Macaca fascicularis: one gene and its partners. The protein of the gene in region 4 purifies or fractionates together with the protein of the main gene of each other region. This does not show direct contact. Links are inferred from orthologs where the notes say so. Each region holds a gene or a part of one and is shown on either strand. Other genes may lie near its edges. The genes, in order: PHF5A, RBM17, PRPF8, SF3B4, ILF2, DDX42 and DHX15.

Region 1 (3,958 bases), on a different chromosome or scaffold from region 4:
GCCTGACCAACATGGAGAAACCCCGTCTCTACTAAAAATACAAAATGGGCTGGGCGTGGTGGCGCATGCCTGTAATCCCAGCTACCCGGGAGGCTGAGGCAGGAGAATTGCTTGAACCCAGGAGGCGGAGGTTGCGGTGAGCCGAGATTGTGCCACTGCACTCCAGCCTGGGCAACAAGAGTGAACTCCGTCTCAAAAAATAAAAAACAAATAAATAAATAAATTAGATAACTGGGTACTATCATTAACCTAGTGAGACTGTATCATACTTCCTTTTGTTTTGTTTTTTGAAGAAAACATGCTGATTCATAGTTTTCCCCCACAAAAACCCTGCTGCCAATACTAAACGAAAGAAATGGGGTAAACCTTGCCTGTAGCACTGGTCTATAAGCTCTCTCTCCTGGCATTTGGCTCAGAGAGTTGAATAGTAAGTAACCACTGCCACTACGCAGTGTCAAGGGACAAAAAAAAAGTCATGATGCAGGGCCACAATCACTTCTGCAATATTAAACCAAAGGTACTTGTTAACTGCTTAAAGCTGAAGTCAACTTGAATCGTCCCAAATTCAACTTTGTCACGATATACACCCGAATAGTGCTTAATGATAGATCTGAGACGTTAATGAGTGGCTATGACACAACATGGGCTGTACAGGCCTTATAAACAGACAGGGTCTCTGTCACCCAGGCTGGAGTGCAGTGGCATGAAAATGGCTCACTGTAGCCTTGACCTCCTGGGCCCAAGTGATCCTCCACCCGCCTCAGTTTCCCAAGTAGCTGGGACCACAGGTACACACCAGCACACCCGACTAATGAAAAATATGTTTTTCTGGCCAGGAGTGATGGTTCATGCCTGTAATCCCAGCACCTGGTGAGGCTAAGGCAGGAGGATCACTTGAGCCCAGGAGTTTGAGACCAACCTAGGCAACAAGACAAGACCCTGTCTCTACAAAAAAAAAATTAGCCAGGTGTGGTGGCGCATGCCTGCAGTCCCAGCTACTTGGGAGGATGAGGTGGGAGGATCGTTTGAGCCCGGGGGAGTCAAGGCTGCAGTGAGCCTTGCACGTGATCATGCCACTGCACCCCAGCCTGGGCCACAGAGCAAGAGACCCTGTCTCAAAAAAAAGGAAAACAAAAAAACAAAACAAAACCAAAAAACCAAATTGTTTTTTGTTGTTGTTTTTGAGATGGGATCTTGCTCTGTGACCCAGGCTAGTCTTGAACTCCTGGACTAAAGTGATCCTCATTAACTTGGACTCCCAAAGTGCTGAGATTACAGGTGTGAGCCACCACGCCCAGCCGGATGTCATTTCTGAATAAAAATAATCACAGAGAAACATGAATAGAGAGAGGGCTCTTCAAATTGCTGGTCTTGACAAAGATTTGCTTCCCTTGCATTTTTCCCCTTGATGCAAAATAACTGCCTTTTATTGAACTACACCCAGTTTGACTCACAGAACTTGAAAAAATTATAACCTAGATGACTAGATGAACACAGTAATCTCCATAGACCATAGGAGATTGCAGTGGATGGCAAAAAAGCAGGAAACAAAAGCAGGAAAGGTCAGATGGAAAGCTGTACACTTACATCCTTCTCCTGGATGGTGCACTCCTTACAATAATACGCATCAGAGACCCCAGGGCCTCCACAGATCACACAGCGTCCCTGGTAAGATCCATAGTTACACTCATCACATATGCGCACCAGAGTGCAGGGACGCACATAGGAGTCACAAATCACACACTTGCCATCACCTGTAAGGAAGAGAATGGAGTCATACTCACAACAAGTTCTTCAGTCCTCTGCTATCTCCTGCCATGGGGAAATACACTAGTCTCCTTTTGACAGTGACTTTAGGACCCTCCTCTTGGCATCACGAAACTTGGTTTACCCAGTATCCATCTCAAGTCCCTCAACATATACAAAAGTTTATCAATTAACATATGTAAAGAGCCTAGAAAATCACCTCAGAGATGATAAGCCTATATAATTGCCGGCAAAGTGCTGTGTATTAGGGAGGGGTCATGCTACTCTGGCAATTTTTCCTGTTGAAAACTAGAGAGATACAGCGTTAAATGTGCAAGTGGCAGTGGGGAGACAGAGGGGCCTTTGGTTGAAGTCCAGCATTCAGTGTTCACATACTTCCAGGCACATCTACTCAAAGCCCTCTTTGTGGCACTTTTGCTGGTTCCACAGAAACTGGGAGTGGGAAGGGTGGGCTGTTGGGACGGAAGGTTCCACTCACATTTTTCACACAGTCTTCCGATGGCTGCAAGATGAAAGATGGTTAAAAAGTACAATTAGAATAAAGGTTTTGACAAACGGGAAGTACATCCTCGAGCTGGGGGTAGGGACATGAGTACGGACTGCAGTGATACCTGCGGATAGCCATTTTATCATTACAAATTTCCAAATGAACCAAACCCACAGCCCAACCACCCTTCTGAATCTCCTCCAACGTCCTGGGGCAAGCTCTGAGTTTCTGTGGACCTGGCCCAGACCCCACCCCCGATACCTGCCTGGGGCTCCCAGCACGCGCACCCCCGCCCTCTTCTCATCAGCGGCCACAAACCTGTGCGTTCCTACAACACCCCGCGCCCGAGAGGCGGGAAACGTGGCGCCAGCTGGGCAAGCCACTAAGGAAGTGATGGGAACCCCCGACCCCCCAGCTCCTAATACCACCCCTACCCAGACAGACAGGGGCAGGGCGCAGTCTCACCAACACCAGCCTGCTTGCGGCAAAAGATCAAATCAGGATGATGTTTAGCCATAGCTCCCAATTAAGCCGGCCACCGGAAGCTTCCGGAACTTCCGTCCGACCTTTATTTCCCATTGTTCCTGCCTCCACGTCGCTGTGATTGGTCCTCTAAGCTTCCGTCAGTTTACGATCCTTGCACCAGGCCCCTCTTGCTCTCGCGCGAGTTTCTGTCGCTGCTGTGTGGCCAGGTCCTGGCAGGTGCATGAAAGTCTTAAAAACACTCCCAGATTTGGATGGCAGAGATAACTAAAATTTGTTCTTGGATAAAACATATTTGTGCTTGGTATCTACTTCTGCAAGTGTCTTTAGGCAGTTCTATTTCCTCTTGCGTGTCTGTTCATTACTCTTGAGCTCCGCTCATTGCGTTCCCAGGGTTCTGGTGCCCCTAGGGAGGCCTCGCCTTCACCGTGACGCCCCACTCTTCCGGGCACGCCCCTGCCCAAAGGCTTTAAAAGGCGCCGTTTGGGACGTCACTTGCATGCGACCTCATCTTTGTCAGTGCACAAAATGGCGCCCTACAGCCTACTGGTGACTCGGCTGCAGGTGAGCGAGCTCAGGGACCTCTGGGTTCACGGGGGCGGGGTGCCTCCTACTGTGCCGGCGGCTATGGGCGAGGCAGGGCGAGGCGGGCCCGACCTAGGGCCAACTTCTCGTGTACCTGTTCCGGTTGTGGGCCCGGCACCCGTGTCCGCTCCTCTGGTGCCCTAGGTCAAGGCGTCCCCGGCACAGTCAGCTTTCCTGGCCCTGTCCCCGCCTCGCAAGAAGCGTGGGCCCAAGCAGCGGCGGCCGGGTGAAGAGCGGAGGCACCTCTTTCTTCTTTTTGAGGACAGCATTCCCTGCTCCCGTGGGGTGTCTTTCCATTCCTCAAGGTGAGGACAAGGTGACTAGGGGGCGCGGTCGTTGTTGAGCCTTCTAGGCCCAGTTCCTGAGGCCTCACTTCCCATCTCTTAGCAACAGAGACATGACAGCATCTACGGTTGCCAGGCCTGGAGTCTGGAGAAGAAACTAGGACCCTGTACCACCTTTTGAGGACCCTGCGGAACATGGAATGCCCGAGGGGGGGAGGTGGTCTTCTGGGCCCCTACGTAGTAAATAATAATAATAGTCTCTCACGTTTGCACAAGATTTGAGGACTGTTTTTTAATTCTTCATAATATTATTTGATTCATGTAATCATAGGAATGAGATGATTTTTCTCAT
Region 2 (2,389 bases), on a different chromosome or scaffold from region 4:
ATAAATAAAGCACTAAGTGATTAATGCAGTTACGGATAATTTTAAAAATAAAAGACTGGGGAAAAAGGCATGCAATAAGTTGTGCCCATGCGAATGGAAATCAAGTAGTATGAGTTGCTTGCAATTCTCTGGTTGCTGACCATGAGAATGTGAAGAAAGGCCACCTAAATGCAAGCAAACAATGTTATTACAAAGCATAACAATAAATGCAAGCATGAAAGGTGGGTTGGAACCATTAGTTTCTGAAATCAAACTAGTCCTTGTTACATTCAGCATGGCACACTCGGGTACTTGTAAGCTCAAACATGGTGTCCGCTTGAGGAATGGTATGCCTAATTCCACAGATAACTAGTTTCAGGGCTGCTTTGGATTCTTTCTGTCCTCTACAATGTTCAATTATGTAATTTACCTCACATTCCTTAACCCCAACTGACTTTACAGAACAGGTGCACTTTTATCATCAAACTCAACTTTATTCAATAAAATAATACCACAAAAGATAAAATGTTATTCTTTTATTTATGTTAAATAAAAACATGAGAAAATCCTTTTTTAAAAAGGGTCAGAATATTCCTTATGTCTCCAAACCAAGTCCATGGATGCAAAGAAATGCTGAGTTCTTGATACACTTTCATGTCATAATAACCAAAGGAGACAACACGGGCTCGAGTCTTTCAGCTGCCACTTAGGAGAGTCACATGCAGTATTTGGGAAAGCAAGGAACAGAACACAGGCATGAGTATTTTCTGGAAATACCTCCTGCCCTGGCAATGAACCTCAGTACCAAATATTTTTGTTTTCTTTTTTGTGGTCCTGATAAATTTTTAAGCCACACATCCTATTGAACTTCAATGATACAATTTCTCACAATTCCAGAATTCTATTAATTGGCAGTACAGTTTATGTGGCCAATGTGGATAATTTTATAAGTTTTAAAATTACATACAATACTATTGCAAATTTTGCCAGTAGAAACATGACCCCAAGGAACTGCCATTTCCAAAACATAATTGGGCACACATTTACAATGCACCTGCTAGGTTTTGAATTCATTTGTCATTTCTGATCTACCCTAAAGACTATGCTTGAATCTCTGAAAACAAATGCTAGATTCATGATTTCTATACCCACATATTCCATAAATCCATCACAAACCCTACAGTCTGACTTAGCTTAACGGCAAATGATTCATCCAATAGGCATGGTATGTTCACAATTCTTCAATCTTATTCAGGTTGTAAAGACGTTTTTCTACAACTGGAGTCACTAAGAATTTCTCTGTTAGAGAAAGCATCATTTTCACCTTTGGCACACTGCCAAGATGATACTTTATTACAGAATTTATGAAACTACAATATAGTAACTTGCAGGCTTTATTAAAAGAAAAAGAAAAACAAAGAATAATTTAATATCACCCCATGTCCCAAAATTTTCTATTTTTTTTTTTTTTTAAGTGCAAGAAATGCTGCATCATTGAAGCACTTGAGAATTACCATGAAATCTAACAAAAAATGTCATCAACTCAGGAGTAATAATAAAAAAGAGAAACAACCAGAGAGGCACACAGATTGTTGTTTTTTTAAAAGGATTTTTATACTATATTAAAAAACCACAAAATAAAAAAGGGATCAATCAACATATATCTTAGAAGTCCTTCCAAGAGTCTTGGTATGCAACAGCCATGGAGGCTGTGACCTTTTTCCTTCTTTTCTCAGCCTGCAGTTCATTTAAGGATCACCGGAGATGACTCGTGCTCTAGTTCTTAAAATCAAACTTGTTCTGCCAAATCCAAGACCCTGAATTTGTCCAAATTGTAGAAACATGCTTTTACCACCCGTCCACCAAAATACCTCCCATTCAAGTCAACAACCGCTGAAAGGCAAACAAAAGACAGTTAATATAGGTATCCTATAAGACATTATAAAGGTTTAACTTTAATTAAACAGTAACTTTACTTGTAAACATTAAGGCTGTAAACTCAACTTTTTAATTCTTTAATATTTAGCTGTACAACTAACCTTTAATTGCTGATTCAACTCTCTCAAATTCTAAAAATATCCGTACTGCTTCATCATCAGGGGCACCAGGAATCTGGAAGAAAATGAGAGTGTGATGCGTAAAGGGATTTGAGATTGCATTGAATGAGTTTTCTCTTTTAAATGATTTCTCAGAGTGAATCTTCTAATTATCATCATATACAGTCAACTAGTTGTCAAATACCAAGGAAATAAGTATAATTTGTTCATCATCAAAAATGTACTGAATGCCTGTTTTTATGACAGGCATTGTTAGTGCCAGGAACACAGGGCTAAGCAGTTTCTGACCTCATCAAGGCTCTGTGCCAGCGGATGACGTAAACAAATAATTATGTGGTCAACAAACAGCAACA
Region 3 (3,500 bases), on a different chromosome or scaffold from region 4:
TTGAGCAGGGTCAAGTCGATCTTCTCATACATCTTCTCAAAGCGGGACTCCAGCATGACATTGCACTCGCCTTCACTTGTCTCCCACACGTCCTGCAGGTTATTGATGCCTGAGGAGTAGCAAGGCAGGTCTCCAGCAGGTTAGAAATCCTCTTTCAGGACTAGCCCCACAGTAACTATCATCACCTTCCACAACCAATCCCACTACCATTCCACGTAGGCATCCGGATTGCTTTGACTATGGGCTTTCCTCAGTTTAACAGGAACACTACTTCCTTTTACTACCATGCATCAGGAGAGTAAACCAATCATGCTGCCCAGATGAGAATTTTGACATAGAACTAAATTCATCCCCCATTCCTCACAGGGCAATCTCAGGAAAGTTCTACCTTGGCACCACTTGTAAACAAGCAGTGGAGGTGGTTCTGTGTCAGCAGGCTTAATCCAGGGTGGGAACAGGCGGCGCTTGTCGGCTTCATACCACAGGTATTGGTCCAGGTAGGCATCAGTTATCTTCTCCAGTGGCTCTACGTCGTATACTGGAACCAGGTGGCTATAGAGATCCATGAACTCAATGCCCACCTGTGGTACAAGGAGGCTGGTTCACACCAATCACCTGAGGCAACCTGCTACCTTTGGTTCTACCAAGAATGAAAGGCAGAACCAAAAAGAAAACTTGGGAGGCTCTCACTCACCTCTTTGAAGGCTCTCTGTGTGAGGAGGTGACGCTTGATGCGGGACAGCGCCTCGTGGGGGTTATCGTAGGCCTGCTCAATCAGACCTAGCTCCTCCCTCTGTGACTGGTTCAACCGAGACTTCACACTGATAAGGCAATGGCAACGGTGAATGGGAAAACCAGGAGGAAGTAAAACCAGAAGAGACTGGGGCTACACCTTCTCTCTTTGGACTCTGAGGGTGATGCTATTCCCTCCTGTCACCTTCCCAGCAGGAACCTATCTACCCTAATACTCACCTATAAGCTTCCTTGAGCCGCTCCAATGCCAAGATGAGCAACTTGGTGTCATGCTTATAGGAGAGTGGGGGGAATGGGATGGGTGAGAACCTGCGGCTTTCCAACCAATGCACTGTGGTGGTATATACTGCCACTGCTTCCTCCGCCGTGATGTAAGGCCCGTCCTGCAAGGTGGACATGAAATTAGCCTCCCGCTATAGCCCGCTCCCCCGAGAACAAGGTTCAGTCACAACTCTGCAGTCCTCCCTCATGCCCACTCCCCGACCGCTCACAGCCAGCCCAGCCTACTCTGCCCAACCTTCAGGTAGTTGTGCTGCCGCTCCTGTTCTGCCTTCAGATACAGCCGGGTGAGGCGGCCCAGGTTCTTTTTACACACAGTCTTGTCCACAGTGGCCCCTCGGCGGATCCGTTCTCGGTTGTAGTGGGCAGTGTTGGTCCACCAGTCAGCCTTGGCCTTCACATATCGAAGGATCATATTCTCTATGGGCGTTGGCAGTCCAGGGACCTAAAAGTCCAAAAAGCACAATCAAGCCGGGATAAAGCAGGTGCTGCGGTGCACACCTGTAGTCCCGGCTACTCAGGAGGCTGAGGAGGACTGCTCGAGCTCAGGAGCTTGAGCTTGAGGCCAGCCTAAGCAACACAGCAAGCACCTCTCTAAAAGAGAAAAGAAAAGAGGTGGGAGCCAGATAGGCCCCTCATGAGTCCCAGAGTGGTGATCCTGACCTAAAGACGATGTTCACCCCTCCAAGGAAATGCAGAGACGCCCACCTTCCAGGGAATGTTGGCTTTCCAGCAGCGCCAGGCTTCACTGAGGTGCTGGAGGATTGTGCGGGCCTTGTTCTGTTTGATCCCCTCAGGCATCATGTCCAGAATATCATGCATCACAGCTGCCCGCAGCTCCAGGTCGAAATGTGACTCCACTCGCTGTTTTGTTACTGTCTTTGCCACCCCCTTTGAGTGTCGACCTAGAAGTAGAGTATCCCAAGGGGATTACAAGCATGATTCCTTGCTTTCAGTAAGGGTCTCTACCTTCATGTCCCTCACTTATTATGGTCACAATAAAATTAGGTATTAACAAAGCGTCCATGTGCCCAGCATATGCAAAAAGATGAGCTACCTTAAACATTCACAACTACGCTTCTGAAGAATGTCCACTCCTGCAAGTGCATGATTGCCTCTCAAGGCCCCAGAAGGAAGCCCAAGAAATAGAAAACTAGGTCAGACTCATTTTGAGAACTGAACCTGAAGGCAATCCAGTAGGAAGGGGTGCTCATACAAGAGCAGGGAATAGACTCAGACAACGAGAGGTAGCTTTGAAGCAGTAACAGGAGAAGTTGGACACAGAGAAAACCACTCACCTTCAAACTGCCGGGCCAGGAGGTTGCCCAGCCATCGCTCCAACAAAGGGGTAATGCCACGCATGAAAAACAGCCAGACTCGCCAACCAGCAGCCCAAAAGCCACAGCCAGGACCCTTCCCTACAGGGCCCTATAATCCCAAGCAGAAGTTAAGAACACAAGTTAGCAATGCATTTAAACAGCAACAGAAACCTGGGCAGAGGTGGGGCATATATGTATAATATACATACAGGCCGGGCACGGTGGCTCAAGCCTGTAATCCCAGCACTTTGGGAGGCCGAGACGGGCGGATCACGAGGTCAGGAGATCGAGACCATCCTGGCTAACACGGTGAAACCCCGTCTCTACTAAAAAATACAAAAAACTAGGCGGGTGAGGTGGCGGGCGCCTGTAGTCCCAGCTACTCGGGAGGCTGAGGCAGGAGAATGGCGTAAACCCGGGAGGCGGAGCTTGCAGTGAGCCGAGATCGCGCCACTGCACTCCAGCCTGGGTGACAGAGCCAGACTCCGTCTCAGAAAAAAAAAAAAAAAAAAAAAAAAATATATATATATATATATATACACATACAGACGAATATATGGATGGCAGTAGAGGAGTAAAAAGAAAAAAACAACTCTGGGTCCTCAACATCTAAACAACATCTAAAACAAAAGGGTAAATGAGAAACCTTAAGGCAAAAACCAGGAACTAAGACTGCCCATGTGAATTTAAAGGGGCAGTAAGGATACACTCATAGCTGGTCTCCAAATAGGTCCCTGGAAAGAGCCCTGTCTACATGTATAAATGAAAAAAGATGTGAGAAAGTAAGTCCAGTGAGGCTGCGTACAGTGGCTCACGCTGGTAATCCCAGCACTTTGGGAGACCAAGGAGGGTGGATCACCTGAGGTCAAGAGTTCAAGACCAGCCTGGCTAACATAGTGAAACCCCATCTCTACTAAAAATTCAAAAATTAGCCAAGCATGGTGGTGCGCGCCTGTAGTCCCAGCTACTCGGGAGGCTGAAGCAGGAGAATCGCTTGAACCGGGAGGCAGAGATTGTGGTGAGCCGAGATCGTGCCATTGCATTCCCCCGGGGCAACAGAGCAAGACAGTCTCAAAAAAAAAAAATAGATAAATAAAAAAAAAAAAAAAAAAAAAAAGCTAGATTACAGGTGGCGGGCACCTGTAATCC
Region 4 (2,126 bases):
GGATCGCTTGAACCCAGGAGTTCAAAACCAGTCTGGGCAACATGGCAAAACCTCACCTCTACAAAAAATACAAAAATTAGCTGGGTGTGATGGCATACACCTGTGATCCCAGCTACTTGGGAGGCTTTGGTGGGAGAATCACCTGAGCCTGGGAGGTTGGGGGTGCAGTGAGCTGTGATCATGCCACCGCACTCCAGCCTAGGCAACAGAGCAAGACCATGTCTCCAAAAAAAAAAAGAAAAAAGAAAAAAACACGATGATCCTACACTATAGATATTGGGTCCCCCTATCTTCCAAACTAGAAGATAAGCTCTATGTAAGGAAACAATTACTCTAGTGCACAGCAGAGCTCAGCAACTGCAACAGTACATTACAGAACAAGCCTTTAAAATGTGGAGTGAGCACCCTTGCTCCTACTCCTACCTTACCATTCTTTTCATGATACTCTGACATCTCTTCTTAAAGAAAAAAGTTACTGTTGTCAAGGAAAACACCACAAATAAACAAGCAGTTTAGTTTTATTTTCTCTGTGCATTTGCAAAATACTCAGGACCAACATAAAAAAGAAATACCTCCTGTGGAAAAAATTACATTAAAAAGGGGAATGGGCTGGGGGTGCTAAAAGGGATTAGTACCTTAGCCCCAAGGAGCTACAGCATCTCTGATTGGTCCAAGGAATAGAAAAGATATTGGGAAGATGTAACAGGAGGAAGGAAAAATGTGAATTTACTGAGGGAGAGGGCCTCGAAGTGGACCTCGAGGGGGAACTGGTGGCCGGGGAGTGGGTCTGGGTGGAGGGAGAGGCCCCCGCTGGTAGCCATAGGGTGGGGGTCGTGGAGGGCCAGTGTATCCATGCGGGGGCATCAGTGGAGGAGGTCCACGCATACCATGCGGAGGCATAGGACCTGGGTGACCTGCAAGGAGTAAAAGAAAAGTTAGTAAGGGCACGGGACAAGGGATGTGCCTACAGGAAGCTGTAAGAACATGATAGGTGCAGATGAGGGAGGTGGCTAGAGACGACTTACCCATGGGAGATCCGAATGGAGGCCCTCGGGGGGGCATACCCATTGGAGGAGGTCCAGGATGAGGCATTCCAGGTGGTGGTCGGGGTGGTGGCTGCCCCCCAGAGCCTGGGGGTCCAGCGTGGGGATGTCCTAAGCCATGAGGGCCATGGTGTGCCAGCTGCATCTGAGACATCCCTATGAAAATAAAACAGACACAAGAAGAAAAGAGACAAAGAGAAGGCAAAGAAAATAGAGAAAAGAACAAAATTAGAAAGAAAGTGACATCAGAAAGAGAACTATACAGAAAAAAGGGTACAGAAAATAAGGCTGGCTGGGCACAGTGGCTCATGCCAATAATCCCAGCACTTCGGGAGGCCTAAGTGGATCACTTGAGCCCAGGAGTTCAAGACCAGCCTGGGCAACACAGTGAGAACCCATCTCTATCAAAAAATACTTTTAATTAGCCAGGCATGGTGGTGTGTGCCTGTAGTCCCAGGTACTCAGGAGGCTGAGATGGGAGGATCAAGGCTACAATAAGCCAAAACTACACTACTGCACTCCAGCCTGAGTGAAAGAGTGAGACCCCATCACCAAACAAACAAACAAACAAACAAAAAAAGAAGAGTGGTAAAAAGTGCTCCCTATCCTTGACCCTATTCCAACAGCACAAACCAACCAATTACTCAATCAACTCCTTACGCTCGCTTCTCCCATGATTTAGGTACTGTAATAGTAATGCTGAAGTATATAACAAGTGGAGTAATGACTCTGTTGATAGGATTTGAGAAAGTAGCAGAGAACATACTGTCTAAGCCAAGATCTAATTCTAAAGGATGAATGCTTCAGGAGGGTAAGATCATGGGAAGAAAGCATCCCAAGCAGAAAGATTACAGGTGTGTCAAACAGCACAATATATTCCAGGAAATGCCAGTTAACTCAGTAATCAGGAGCAAAATGCAGTTACAGAAATGAGGGGCAGGGGCCAGCTCATAAAGAGCTGTGAATGCTATGGTAATGAGTTTGAGTTTTACTCTGTAGGTAAAAGGGAGCAACAGAGTCATTTTGAGCAAGTGTGTGCACATCTGTGTTTTAAAAAACCTACTCTGTGAAAGTAGATCGAAG
Region 5 (4,169 bases), about 3.9 Mb from region 4:
AGTATTTTCTCCTAATCCCTTCCATATGAGCTGACTCAATACTGACCTAGGACTTTAAAAACACTTCATTCTGGCCTTGAATATATGGAAAGAGAACAACTCTTTGTCCCCAATAAAAATAAGAATGCATATGTAATTTGTTTATATATTCACCTGGCTATCTCCACCCACAATGAGAAATAAGGAGAACAATTAAACCCTCTGTGGATTTCAGGCTCTGTTAACACCATTCTTAACCTTACCAACAGTTACTCTTTACCAATACTTTTACCTGCTTTAGAGACATTTCTGGAAGACAGCCAAAAGAACATACCTGTTCAGCAGAATTAGGAGCCAGGTCCTGATTCCTCTTCAGCAAGGCCTCACTGAAGGAGGTTTCATCAGGTGCTGGCTTGACCCGGGGGAAGGCCATTTCACACTAAACCAGAAGTAAACAACTACATTCCATTTGCCGAAAATAATATACAGGAGAGATTGTTTTTTCTATTACTACGACAGAAAAAGGTTAAAAATAGAAAATTCTACACTTGTTTTTACTCCTTAATTTGTTCAATTAGCTGGGCATGGTGGCTCACGCCTGTAATCCCAGCTGAGGTGGGAGAATCCCTTGAACACAGGAAGCGAGGCTGCAGTGAGCCAAGATCGTGCCACTGCACTCCAGCCTGGGCAACACAGTAAGACCCTGCCTCAAAAAAAAAAAAAAAAAAATTTGTTCAAAGGCCAGGCATGGTGGGTCACGCCTGTAATCCCGGCACCTTGGGAGGCCGAGGTGGGCAGATCGCTTGAGGTCAGGAGTTCAAGATCAGCCTGGGCAACATGGTGAAACCCCGTCTCTACTAGATACCCAAAAAACAGCTGGGCATGGCGCCTATAATAGCAACTACTTGGGAGGCTGAGGCAGGAGAACTGTTTGAACCTGGGAGGCAGAGGTCCTGATTCCTCTGCCTCCCGGGTTCAGTGCAGTGAGCCAAGATTGCACCACTGCACTCCAGCCTGGGTGACGGAGTGAGACTCTGTCTCAAAAAAAAAAAGAAAAAATGTTCAAACAAGGATACAAGCTGGAATAGCCATAATTTAAGCTATCACTATCTTTATAGTAACAAATTAGCCATAGATACGATTACTTGTTCAGAACAAAGATTATAATCATGTTTAATGCCAACAGTAGTCAAGGAATTATTCTCCCCACCATGCTTACACTGTTTCTGTAGGTAAAGCAACACACAGTTGACTCAAAACCCCAAGTCTTTTCAAAAATCACTTTCCCCCTCATTTCAATCACCATTTTTTTTTTTTTTTTTTTTGGTAGTGGTGCCATCTCAGTTCACGCAACCTCCGCCTCCCGGGTTCAAGCGATTCTCCTGCTTCAGCCTCCCAAGTAGCTGGGATTACAGGCACACGCCCAAGCAACTTTTTTATTTTTACTAGAGATGGGGTTTCACCATATTGGCCAGGATGGTCTCAAACTCCTGACATCAGGTGATCCATCCGCCTCGGCCTCCCAAAGTGCTAAGATTACAGGTGTGAGGCACTGTGCCTGCCCTCTTCAACCACTATCTAACTTCATTAACTGGGAGATACTAGGCTCCATTTCAAGAATGGCCAGAAATTGTGTATTATTAACCCAAGGTACTCACCAAATAGAAGTCAAATGGGATATGTGGTACAAAGGGCCTGAACCTAAAACATGAAAAACAGCCAAATTATTCCCTATGTAGGAATCAAGTGAGATTTAAATAACACCAACAATTTTGAAAACATGTCAGACCTCAGAATGAGTGACAAAGTCTCTGGGGAGGGAGAGAATCATTCTTAGCATAGTGGGGCCAAATTCATTTAGCAGGAGTGCGGAAAAGACCACAGTTGGCTCTCACAAAACCAAGTGACATTAGTCTATTCCAAAACTCCTATTTAGATGACAAGCAGAAACTAACAACTAAGTGCAGAGATGCTAAAAGCTGGCACTCACCCTCCTCCTGGGCCTCCTCTGGAACCAAAGCGCCCACCACGACCACGGCCTCTGTCACCCCTAGAAATGCAGATTTTATTTTGATCTCATTGAAGGAATACCCACCGGCCATGTCATTTTAAGTTGGCTACTTTCATCCCTCGGAACCTCCCAACGGTAGGCAAGAGACCCCACTCACACACTTCTCCCCATTCCAAATGGTGCCCAGTTACACCCCCATAACCTCCTCATTCTGGATAAGTTAATCACAACCCCCCATCAAGTAATGATGGGGCTCAGACAGTGAGCCCTACACGAAATAACCCATAATCCTGGGCCACACGAATCCTAATACTTCGGAAGCTAAAGATTGCTCATTTCTTCATTAACGTACACATTTATCGGGCATGTCCTGTATGTCAAGCCCTTCGCACTGAGGATGAATGCGGCTCGCTCCAGCATTCTCAGCCCGGATGACGGGGACGGAGGGAAGGTGGGGAGCTCCTCCGTGGACTTGAGGACACCTCCTCATCGCAACCCTTCAAAGAGAGGTGTCGAACCCGCCTCCCCACTCCTGGGCCCCGGCCCCAACCCCATCCCGGGCCCGTTTCCCCGCCTCTACCGGCCTCACTCTCTCCCACTCTCCTAGACCAGGAGTTCTCAGGTTTTTGGCCAGCTCCCGGATACATGGTCCTTTTAGGTACTCCGACTTCTTTCGACCCACGTTCCCAAAGTTTTCCGTCGAATACCTGAAACCTTTCGACCACTTCGACCCCCTTACCTCATGGCGCCTTAAAACACGAACAATGGAGGCCGCACCAACCGCCCCTTTCCTCTGAGGAGCAGACAACTGAAGAGGAGTCTTGCCGGCGTGTCCCAATAAAACCCGGCGTGATTGGCTCCCGCCTTACCCCATCGCTTATGCCTATTGGCTTACTTTGTCAAACCGGGCTTATGAACCAATAAAAAACGCCTACTGTGTCAGGAACTAGCCAATAAGAACTGGTTCTATAGTAATGACGAATTTTTGATCAGACATTAGGTGGCACTGAAGAAGTCAGGACAACGACTACGTGGTCTTCTATAACAGTTATGAGAACGTTGGCCTTCAGATAGCAGAGTGGCGCAGCGGAAGCGTGCTGGGCCCATAACCCAGAGGTCGATGGATCGAAACCATCCTCTGCTATCGGAATTTTTTTCATTGCCCTGTACCGTACACGTAATTTACATTACATTCAGTGAATGAAAATACCTTGCCGATTTTCCTACCCCAAAAACGCAAGCGGTATCAGCCATTTTTGCCACTAGCAGTTGAAGTTGATGGGGAAAAGGGAGTTTAGGCAACTATGAACACTACACGTCTACAAACTCGAAGCAGGAGAAACAGGTTTCAGATAGGAGGAGTATATTGATTGAATTAATGTGGAAAACAGGTGTTCCACCCGCCTCAGCCTCCCAAAGTGCTGGGATTACCGGCCTGAGCCACCGCGCCCGGCTTGGTTACATAAATTCTTTAGTGGTGATTTGTGAGATTTTGGTGCACTCATCACCCGAGCAGTATACACTGAATCCAACTTGTAGACTTTTATCCCTCATCTACCTCCCTTCCATACGTACTTTTTTGATATTTAATTTACTACAGCAGAACGTAAACATCTTAAGTCTAAACGTATTCTGTCCACATAACCACCATCCAGATTTAAATAAATGTTATTAATTTAAAAAAAAAAAAAAAAAAAAAGGGCCGGGTGCGGTGGCTTGTGCTGGCGGGCACTTGTAATTCCAGTTACTCGGGAGGCTGAGGCAGGAGAATCTTGAATCCAGGAGGCGGAGGTTGCAGTGAGTTGAGATGGCGCCACTGCACTCCAGCCTGGGCGATAGAGGGAGACTCCGTCTTAAAAAAAAAAAAAAAAAAAAAAAAATCTTGCTTGAGGTTTGTTGAGCTTCTTGAATCAATGGCTTGAGGTTTGTCATCCATTTATATAATTTATTAGCTATTATATCTTCCAGTATTAGTTTTACCTATTATTTCCCTCCTTCCTGAACTCCAAAGACGTATTAGACTTTTCCCCCAGTAATCTCTTTGTCTCTTACCCTCTCTTCTATTATTTTATTTGTACACAGGGTCTCACTCTGTTGCCCAGGCTGGAGAGCAGTGGTACACCATCATAGCTCACTGCAGCCTCGACCCCCTGGGCTCAACAGACTCTCCCATTTCGGC
Region 6 (3,500 bases), on a different chromosome or scaffold from region 4:
TATCTTTTGCATCAAGAATCTGCCATGCCCTCTTCTCTTGCACTGGGAATATATTTTTAAAATGTGTCATGAAGCTGAGAAGTTCTCTCCTTTCTGGGAATATCAGTGTTTAAGGGTAGTTATTAAAACTTGACAGAACAAAGCAGAAATAATATTCCAAAAACTGTTCTCATCCTGAGTGAAGTTGCCCAACTAAGCTGTGTATAGTAGATCAATGTAAGATATCTACTATATTCAGACATACAATAAGGGCATTCATTGCCTTTTTTCCCCCAGTGACTTCTAGCTGCAGGGATTCTTTTTTTTTTTTTTTTTCTTGAGACAGATTCTTGCTCTGTCGCTCAGGCTGGAGTATAGTGGCCGGATCTCAGCTCACTGCAAGCTCCACCTCCCGGGTTTAGGCCATTCTCCTGCCTCAGCCTCCTGAGTAGCTGGGACTACAGGCACCTGTCACCTCACCTGGCTACTTTTTTCTATTTTTTAGTAGAGACGAGGTTTCACCGTGTTAGCCAGGATGGTCTCGATCTCCTGACCTCGTGATCCGCCCGTCTCGGCCTCCCAAAATGCTGGCATTACAGGCTTGAGCCACTGCGCCCAGCCGCTGCAGGGATTCTTTGATCAGAGAGAGACACTAAGTGAAAAGTGGTGTCGGCCGGGCGCGGTGGCTCAAGCCTGTAATCCCAGCACTTTGGGAGGCCGAGACGGGTGGATCACGAGGTCAGGAGATCGAGACCATCCTGGTGAACACAGTGAAACCCCGTCTCTACTAAAACTACAAAAAACTAGCCGGGCGAGGTGGCGGGCGCCTGTAGTCCCAGCTACTCGGGAGGCTGAGGCAGGAGAATGGCGTGAACCCGGGAGGCGGAGCTTGCAGTGAGCTGAGATCAGGCCACTGCACTCCAGCCTGGGCGACAGAGCGAGACTCCGTCTCAAAAAAAAAAAAAAAAAAAAAAAAAAAAAAAAAAAAAAGAAAAGTGGTGTCTAGAGCTCCAGACTGTGATCCCTGTGCTGAACTGCTGCTTCCTTGGGGGTTTGGGAGGGGATGGCCAGTCAGGCCAATAGTCTTTCCATCAGCCTGCTCAGATATTACACGTCTTATACAGTAAGACAGAGTACCCTTATAGCCTAGGAACTTAATGTTGTTGAAAAATTCATACTCTACCTGCAACATCTGTGGCCACCAGGACTGGGATGTCCTTTTTCTTAAAGTCTGAAATGACCTTGTTTCTCTCACTCTGATCCATATCCCCATGGAGCAGCCCAAGATTATGACCCTCCTGTTTAAGGTTATTCGCTAGCTCTTCAGCATTGGCTTTTTTAGTAACAAAGAGGAGGACACTCCCTGAAGAGGTAAACTCTACCAGACGCCGGGTAAGCCAGTTCCATTTACTAGGTCCAGAATGGAGAATCTCCACAATCTGTGTCACATCTTCATTTGCCTGAGAAGGAAGAAATGAAACAGATGATTGTGACATTGGAGTCACAGGCCACCTAAACAAGGACTAGCATTGTATTTTCTACCTGCATCGAGAAGACCTTCAACAATCCAGTTCTCCTTGGGCCTTCCTTCAGCAAGTCAAGTGCAGCTCAAAACTCACCTCTCCTTTTCAATCACCTTGCTCTCCGCCTGGTGTATATACCTAATTTGTATGCCCCACTACTTTCTAGAGCTTTCCTTAACAATAACCATGGCAAGCAACTGAAGGATTCTTAAGCAGCCATAACTGAATTCCAAGTCCCAATTCAGAGAAATTTTCCATATAGCGCATATGTACAGGTAAGAAATGAAACCTGATTTTTGCCAGGCCTTTCAGGTCACCCTTTCCCTCCTGTGTAGGCCCCTCCCACAATAATTAAAACGTCAGTTCCAACCTAACACACTGTAGTATGCTTCCAGGCAGATCTTTTTGTCTCTTTGAAGCCTTTTTAAAACAATTATAAAGTTTTGAGACATTCAGTAAAACAAACAGAAAAGCAAAATGAACAAAATCAACTCGTACCCATCATCTAGCTTCTATGATTCCCAATATTTTGCCAGTCCTCTTTCATGTATCCCCACAACTTGCAAAATACCAAATCTCAAGCATGTTGCATCTATAAACATAACATCTTTTTTTATCTCAATAGTGAGAAATTAATTCTGTGTTCCATAATATGAGAAATAAACACATTAAGGTCCCATCCAGCCCTGTTTAGGGTTACCTCTCCAATATCTCCCTGCACCACTCGAATAGGGTCGATCAGGATGTCTCTGGCCAACTTTTCAATCTTTTTCCGAAAAGTTGCACTAAATAAGAGAGCTACAAGATAAGATAAATTCTGTTAGAGAAACAGTATATCTTTATGAATATCCATTAAGCTTCTTTGGCATTCAAGATTATTCAGTTTTTTTACATAAGCTCACCTGAGCTTTAAATTTAGTTTAAAAATTGATTCACTAGAGAAAGATTTGCTCTTATTCTATTTTTATTACATTTTTAGTTAAGACAAGTTGTCAGCATGGTTCAGAAAAAGACTCTTGATTTCAAATCAGCAGATCTGTACTGATCATTGCTTCTACCCGCTGATAAAACTGTATAATTTTGGGCAGCTTATTTAATTTCTGAGGCTTGCTTTTATCATCTATAAAAAGGAACAAGTTATATCTAGTGCTAAGATCCTGTCCAGCTCAGATAAACTCATTACCTCCCTCGTTACGGTTCTCACCAATACACACATGATCATTTTTACTTCCATAACTCTGAGTGCTTATAAAATAAATAAGTGTCCTTTTTAGTACAAATTTGGTTTAACGAAGGTGCTTCATACATACTCTGTCTGTCAGGACGAACATGACTTGCTATGGATCGAACTTGGTACTCTGGAAGAAGCAGAACAATAAAATTAATATTATAACCTGAAATACAGTTTGGGAAGCCTGGAAAAAGCCATTGTAGTAAAAGTATTCACAAGAAGTTGTAAGAATTAAGAAAATTAGAAACCCCAGGCCGGGCGCAGTGGCTCATGCCTGTAATCCTAGCACTCTGGGAGGCCGAAGCAGGTGGATCACCGGATCACTTAAGGTCAGGAGTTTGCAACCTGGTCAACGCAGCTCTCTCTACTAAAAATACCGAAAAAAAAAAACAAAAACAAAAAAACAAACTAGCCAGGTGTGGAGTAGGTGCCTATAATCCCAGCTACTCAGGAGGCTGAGGCAGGAGAATCGCTTGAAACTGGAAGGAGGAGGTTGTAGTGAGATCGCACCACTGCACTCCAGCCTGGGCAACAAGAGTGAAACTCTGTCTCAAAAAAAAACGAAGCTCCTAGACATATCGTTCAGTATAAAAGTGAAAAATTTTCCCTCCATCCAACTGGGCTAGGTCTAGCAGTGTTCCAATCAGTAAAGACAGCTATGAGGATAGGAAAGCAAAGGGCCTCGAATCATCTGACATTCACCTACCCAAGTACACAGACCTTAACCTCTATGATCAAAGGCATATGAATAAAAATAAAGACAGAGA
Region 7 (4,278 bases), on a different chromosome or scaffold from region 4:
AAAAACGTCCCTAACATGGAAAACTTTTTTCCATACTTCAACAGTAAGTTGTCTCTTGGTAATAACTGTATAGTGAAGACTCTGTGGGTTGACAAAAAGAAGAAATGAGGCCAGAATACGCAACAGAAACCTATAATAACTTCACCTGATTTCAAAGTTAAAATATGTCAAGAATAAAATAAAGACTTATATAGTTGGGAACATTAATGTAAGTGAAATCTCCCACTGAATTACCTTCTCTTCTCAGTATTGGAGACATCCTATCTGGCAGTGGAGTTTGTAAGACTGACAAGCTTATGCTCTCAGATAAAACCACTTGCTGACTATCAGGGTAAAAAAAAAAATCTGCAGGATTGCATGGCAGTCAACAAGTGACTTAAAATTATGGAGTATGAAAAAAAATCCTGATGCTGATAAACACTGTAAGTCCACTGTTAAATAAAGCCAGTTCTATGATAAATGGCACTCAAATGACATAGAAATTAGTATTAAAACTTCCCTCTACAATTTCTTATAACTTGAGCATTATTCCAAAGATGAACTCGCCTTTATCCACAGGCAAATTCTAAATAATATACAAGGGAATCATAAAGCTACCATTTGACCCCGAAAGTCGACATGTTTACTAAGGGTATCTGTTTTTGCAAGAGATAGTAAACAATTGCACATACATATGGTGGGACCACTAATCCCAAGGGAAGCATTTTAAATGGTGCACATATGCACAAATACAAATGAATTCATTCATTCCCTCCCAGAATATTTTGTTCCAATCTGACCTCCTGTTAGAGACATCAGTTCCAGATGACAGCAATTTATTTTTGCTTCAGAGAAATCAAGAACTAAGTGTTCCCTACTTTACCAACCCATTATAAATGTCATTAAAATAGGCTGTAATGAGTCTTAACTACAGTACTGAACTGTGTGCTGCTGAGTGAAAATGATAAAGGCAGGGTTCCAGATCCTGCTGTAAACTTGCCCAAGCCACCTTAACTGTTCTCCATTTCTCATTCCTTGAGTGGAGCTGTAGAGTCTTTTTTAAGTTGCTCCCAGCTCTGAGAGTCTGTGACATACAGCTCAGAGGCATTTAACGTTTTGTGGGGGGTAACGGTGGGGGACAGTGATAGCCTAAAGAGAGTCTGTCTTACAGTGTCATTGTCTTTTTACAATGCCTAATATCGCCAACTAAACAACTCACAAAACTGTACATGCTTTTGCTTTGTATTGAATAATTCAACATATGGGAAGGTCTCAAAGTACATCCTATCCTGGCTTATACTCTACAATGACACTAAACATATCCCTAGAAATCAATTTCAATGAAGAACTTCAGCTGAAAATTTCAAAAAAGCTAGACAAGGGGACTTGACACAGTGATTCCGTATCACAAGTACACAATAAAATGATAAAATTATGCAAAGTATTTGGATATTCGGGCTTTTGTGGGTTTTGCCTGAATTATCCAAATAGGTCTTTGTACTTCAGCAATGAAAACACACACGGGAAAGAAACAGATTTTCATAAAACTGCTTAAGTTAACTGTTAAATTCCTCTGTATCTTTAAGGAAAGGAATCTGGAACACCATGAGTTTGTGTAAGTATTTCAACTCTCAACCTCCACATGGGCGGTGTTTCGCCATCAATACTAAAAACACGTTTTGAACATGATCCCTGTATTTCAAAAGCTACTTATGAAGAAAAGTGGGACATGCACAGAAAATAAATGATGAAAAAAAAAAAAAAAGAATGCCTTCTAATCCCTCCCCATGGGATGATGTTCGGTAACCACTTTTAACCAAAGCAGGAAATAGAGGAGATGGCGGGAGCGTAGGCAGAGGGCGGAAGTTTGCTAGTATCTACTTTAAAGTGTTTGAATGGACCGAGACACGCTCTCTCCCGCCAAACTATAAACTCAGTCGCCCCAAAACACCAGCCTTCCAGCCCACCAGGTATTTTACTCCACCCTTCCTTTCTCCCGGCAAGTCCTCTACTCCACTTCCCCAGAGAACTCCCCATTTGCTGGCTTCTCTCAACTCCCGCCACCCCCACCCCAGCCTACATTAGGATCCACGCGCTGCTCTCACTTTCCGCCCTCCGCCTTTCCCGTCTGGAGTGCCTGGCCGCGCCCCCACTCAGGCCCTCCCCATGGCCCCTCTGCCTGGGAAGTGCCTGGTGCCCTTGGAAGCGAATACTCCCGCCGCGCCCTCCCCCACTCTCTCCCCCGGATCCAGGCCTTCCTCGGGAACCGAGGCCACGAGGTCCGCGGTTCACTCCCGCCCCACGCCCTCGAAAGTGACTCCTGCTCGGTTCGGCCTGGGGGAGGAGGCGCCCTCATGGCCACTGCAGGCCTCTCCACCCTCCGGACTGGGTTGGGCACCGGCCCCGCCGCACGCAACTCCCCGCGCCCTTGCCGGGCCGAACGGGCGCCGCGCTTCTCCGACCCGCCGCTGGTGAACCCAGCCCAGAAGGAAACAAAGGCTCGGGCTCCAGGACCCGCTCGGCCAGGCCAGTCCCAGCCCGCTCCCTGCCAGGACCCCAACAAAGCCCGAGCTGCTGCCTCGCGCCCCCGGCCTGGCTTACCCATCGGTCCCCGCACGCTTCTTGCCAGAGGGGTAATCCTCCCCTAGGTCCAACCGGTGCCGCTTGGACATCCTCGCACTCTTCGAACGGGCGGTTATTAAGGAAGAAAGCTAGCCGCTGTATGGGCACAGTGGAGGACAGCCACTTAACTCTGGAGGACCCCCACCCCTCCCGCTACTACAGCCCACACGGTGCGGCCGGAACCAGGAGCTAAAATGGCGGCGGCGACGAGGGCTGGGCCTGCGCGCGCGCGCGCTTCCGCAGCGTGCGTGCGTGCGAGTGTGCGTGTGAGCGAGGTGCGCGCGCACGCCGCCCAAAGGCGGGAACTCCTGTCCCGCCCGCTGCCTCATTGGTCCGACCTTTCTTGCGTCTCCTCCCTCTTCCCGTAGCTTTCCCCTCCTAGGAGCGGCTGTTAGGAAAAGCCTGAAGGCCTTCACTTTCCATTTCAGTCTATCCTTGCCCCTCTGAGTCGAGAAATTGAGGAAGTCTAGTCCTAGTTAGGAAATCCTATTCATCTCTATTACCCCGGCTTTAAGGGAATCTCAGACCCAGAGAGGTTGAGAAACGAAGATCGTACAACTAATAAGTGGCAGAGCCGGGATTGGAACCCAGCTATTTAGTAACTCCAGATCTGGAACTTGAGGCCACCCCGCTACTCTCAGTTGCAGTGAGGGACCGCGCGCGGTGGTTCACGCCTGTAATCCCAACACTTTGGGAGATCGAGGCAGGCGGATCACGAGGTCAGGAGTTCGAGACCAGCCTGGCCAACATAGTGAAACCCCGTCTCTACTAAAAATACAAAAATGAGCCGGGCGTGGTGGCGCACGCCTGTAATCCGAGCTACTCGGTAGGCTGAGGCAGGAGAATCGCTTGAACCTGGGAGGCAGAGATTGCGATGAGATCACGCCAGTGCACTCCAGCCTAGGCGACAGAACAAGACTCCGACTTGGGAAAAAAAAAAAAAATCAATTGCAGTGAGGAAACTAAAGTGAGAAAATCTTAAGGCTTGTCATGATCTAGTTTGCCCTTTTCTTGCCCAGCACAGACACCCATGCACTCAAGCTATAGATGTTTTTAGCTAGAATACAGAGAATTCGCAGTGAGGGCACAATTTGCTTTTATGTTTGTTTTTTTGTTTTTCTTTCTGTGCCTATTAATGCACTTTCACAGTGTTAAATAACACCCTGCAAGGTAGTTGTTATTTTGTAGACGTGGACGCAAAGGCTGCGGAAGGTTAAATCTCACGGCCATAAGGGCTGTACCTAAAGCCGTAACAAGGAGGTGGGGCAAGATGACTCTAAGGAATTTTGTAGATCTCTCCCCCTAGAATATCTCTGCTTCCTCAGTTGCATTCGTTCCCAGAAGAAATGCACAAGAAAAGATCTGTGGACTATCTGCAGCAGGGTGATCTCTGTTGTTCATGGAATGACTTGGTTTGGCTGCCGTGGAAGATCATACTCTGGTTCTTATCAAAGTCTCGGGACTGCAATTGCTAGGATTAAACACAACTTAAATATTGCAACTGATGAGGGGTTTGTGTGTTTGTTTTGAGACAGAGTCTTACTCTGTCGTCCAGGCTGGGGGACAGTGGCACGATCTCAGCTCACTGCAACCTCCGCCCCCCAGGTTTAAGCCATTCTCCTGCCTCAGCCTCCCTCCTAGCTGGGATTACAAGCTCCCGCCACCCCGCCCGGCTAG

The links.
Region 1: the proteins of SF3B4 (region 4) and PHF5A purify together in Homo sapiens (affinity purification with mass spectrometry; 6 studies listed by BioGRID and IntAct, with this or other methods). This does not show direct contact. The link is inferred for Macaca fascicularis from reciprocal best matches to the Homo sapiens genes SF3B4 and PHF5A.
Region 2: the proteins of SF3B4 (region 4) and RBM17 purify together in Homo sapiens (affinity purification with mass spectrometry; 4 studies listed by BioGRID and IntAct, with this or other methods). This does not show direct contact. The link is inferred for Macaca fascicularis from reciprocal best matches to the Homo sapiens genes SF3B4 and RBM17.
Region 3: the proteins of SF3B4 (region 4) and PRPF8 purify together in Homo sapiens (affinity purification with mass spectrometry; 4 studies listed by BioGRID and IntAct, with this or other methods). This does not show direct contact. The link is inferred for Macaca fascicularis from reciprocal best matches to the Homo sapiens genes SF3B4 and PRPF8.
Region 5: the proteins of SF3B4 (region 4) and ILF2 fractionate together in Homo sapiens (co-fractionation; 3 studies listed by BioGRID, with this or other methods). This does not show direct contact. The link is inferred for Macaca fascicularis from reciprocal best matches to the Homo sapiens genes SF3B4 and ILF2.
Region 6: the proteins of SF3B4 (region 4) and DDX42 purify together in Homo sapiens (affinity purification with mass spectrometry; 3 studies listed by BioGRID and IntAct, with this or other methods). This does not show direct contact. The link is inferred for Macaca fascicularis from reciprocal best matches to the Homo sapiens genes SF3B4 and DDX42.
Region 7: the proteins of SF3B4 (region 4) and DHX15 purify together in Homo sapiens (co-immunoprecipitation; 4 studies listed by BioGRID and IntAct, with this or other methods). This does not show direct contact. The link is inferred for Macaca fascicularis from reciprocal best matches to the Homo sapiens genes SF3B4 and DHX15.

The regions. Positions count from the first base shown.
Region 1 is NC_088384.1:10,143,649-10,147,606, reverse strand, and holds the start of PHF5A (PHD finger-like domain-containing protein 5A), read right to left. Parts: upstream 2,801-3,958; 5' UTR 2,772-2,800; coding exon 2,720-2,771; intron 2,270-2,719; coding exon 2,246-2,269; intron 1,755-2,245; coding exon 1,588-1,754; intron 1-1,587. Other genes in the region: ACO2 (aconitate hydratase, mitochondrial), read left to right, coding at 3,266-3,301.
Region 2 is NC_088383.1:7,064,927-7,067,315, reverse strand, and holds the end of RBM17 (splicing factor 45), read right to left. Parts: intron 2,092-2,389; coding exon 2,019-2,091; intron 1,873-2,018; coding exon 1,769-1,872; 3' UTR 501-1,768; downstream 1-500. UniProt on the Homo sapiens protein: Splice factor that binds to the single-stranded 3'AG at the exon/intron border and promotes its utilization in the second catalytic step. Involved in the regulation of alternative splicing and the utilization of cryptic splice sites.
Region 3 is NC_088390.1:1,799,951-1,803,450, forward strand, and holds part of PRPF8 (pre-mRNA-processing-splicing factor 8), read right to left. Parts: intron 2,461-3,500; coding exon 2,331-2,460; intron 1,938-2,330; coding exon 1,741-1,937; intron 1,478-1,740; coding exon 1,271-1,477; intron 1,137-1,270; coding exon 973-1,136; intron 822-972; coding exon 695-821; intron 582-694; coding exon 389-581; intron 110-388; coding exon 1-109. UniProt on the Homo sapiens protein: Plays a role in pre-mRNA splicing as core component of precatalytic, catalytic and postcatalytic spliceosomal complexes, both of the predominant U2-type spliceosome and the minor U12-type spliceosome.
Region 4 is NC_088375.1:111,356,219-111,358,344, reverse strand, and holds the end of SF3B4 (splicing factor 3B subunit 4), read right to left. Parts: intron 1,200-2,126; coding exon 1,026-1,199; intron 915-1,025; coding exon 727-914; 3' UTR 501-726; downstream 1-500. UniProt on the Homo sapiens protein: Component of the 17S U2 SnRNP complex of the spliceosome, a large ribonucleoprotein complex that removes introns from transcribed pre-mRNAs.
Region 5 is NC_088375.1:107,501,063-107,505,231, reverse strand, and holds the start of ILF2 (interleukin enhancer-binding factor 2), read right to left. Parts: upstream 2,801-4,169; 5' UTR 2,735-2,800; coding exon of another isoform or gene 2,730-2,734; 5' UTR 2,411-2,729; coding exon 2,343-2,410; intron 2,030-2,342; coding exon 1,970-2,029; intron 1,681-1,969; coding exon 1,638-1,680; intron 438-1,637; exon of another isoform or gene 419-437; coding exon 314-418; intron 1-313. UniProt on the Homo sapiens protein: Chromatin-interacting protein that forms a stable heterodimer with interleukin enhancer-binding factor 3/ILF3 and plays a role in several biological processes including transcription, innate immunity or cell growth.
Region 6 is NC_088390.1:70,316,136-70,319,635, reverse strand, and holds part of DDX42 (ATP-dependent RNA helicase DDX42), read right to left. Parts: intron 2,861-3,500; coding exon 2,813-2,860; intron 2,301-2,812; coding exon 2,203-2,300; intron 1,440-2,202; coding exon 1,163-1,439; intron 1-1,162. UniProt on the Homo sapiens protein: ATP-dependent RNA helicase that binds to partially double-stranded RNAs (dsRNAs) in order to unwind RNA secondary structures. Unwinding is promoted in the presence of single-strand binding proteins.
Region 7 is NC_088379.1:23,698,089-23,702,366, forward strand, and holds the start of DHX15 (ATP-dependent RNA helicase DHX15), read right to left. Parts: upstream 2,801-4,278; 5' UTR 2,652-2,800; coding exon 2,581-2,651; intron 1-2,580.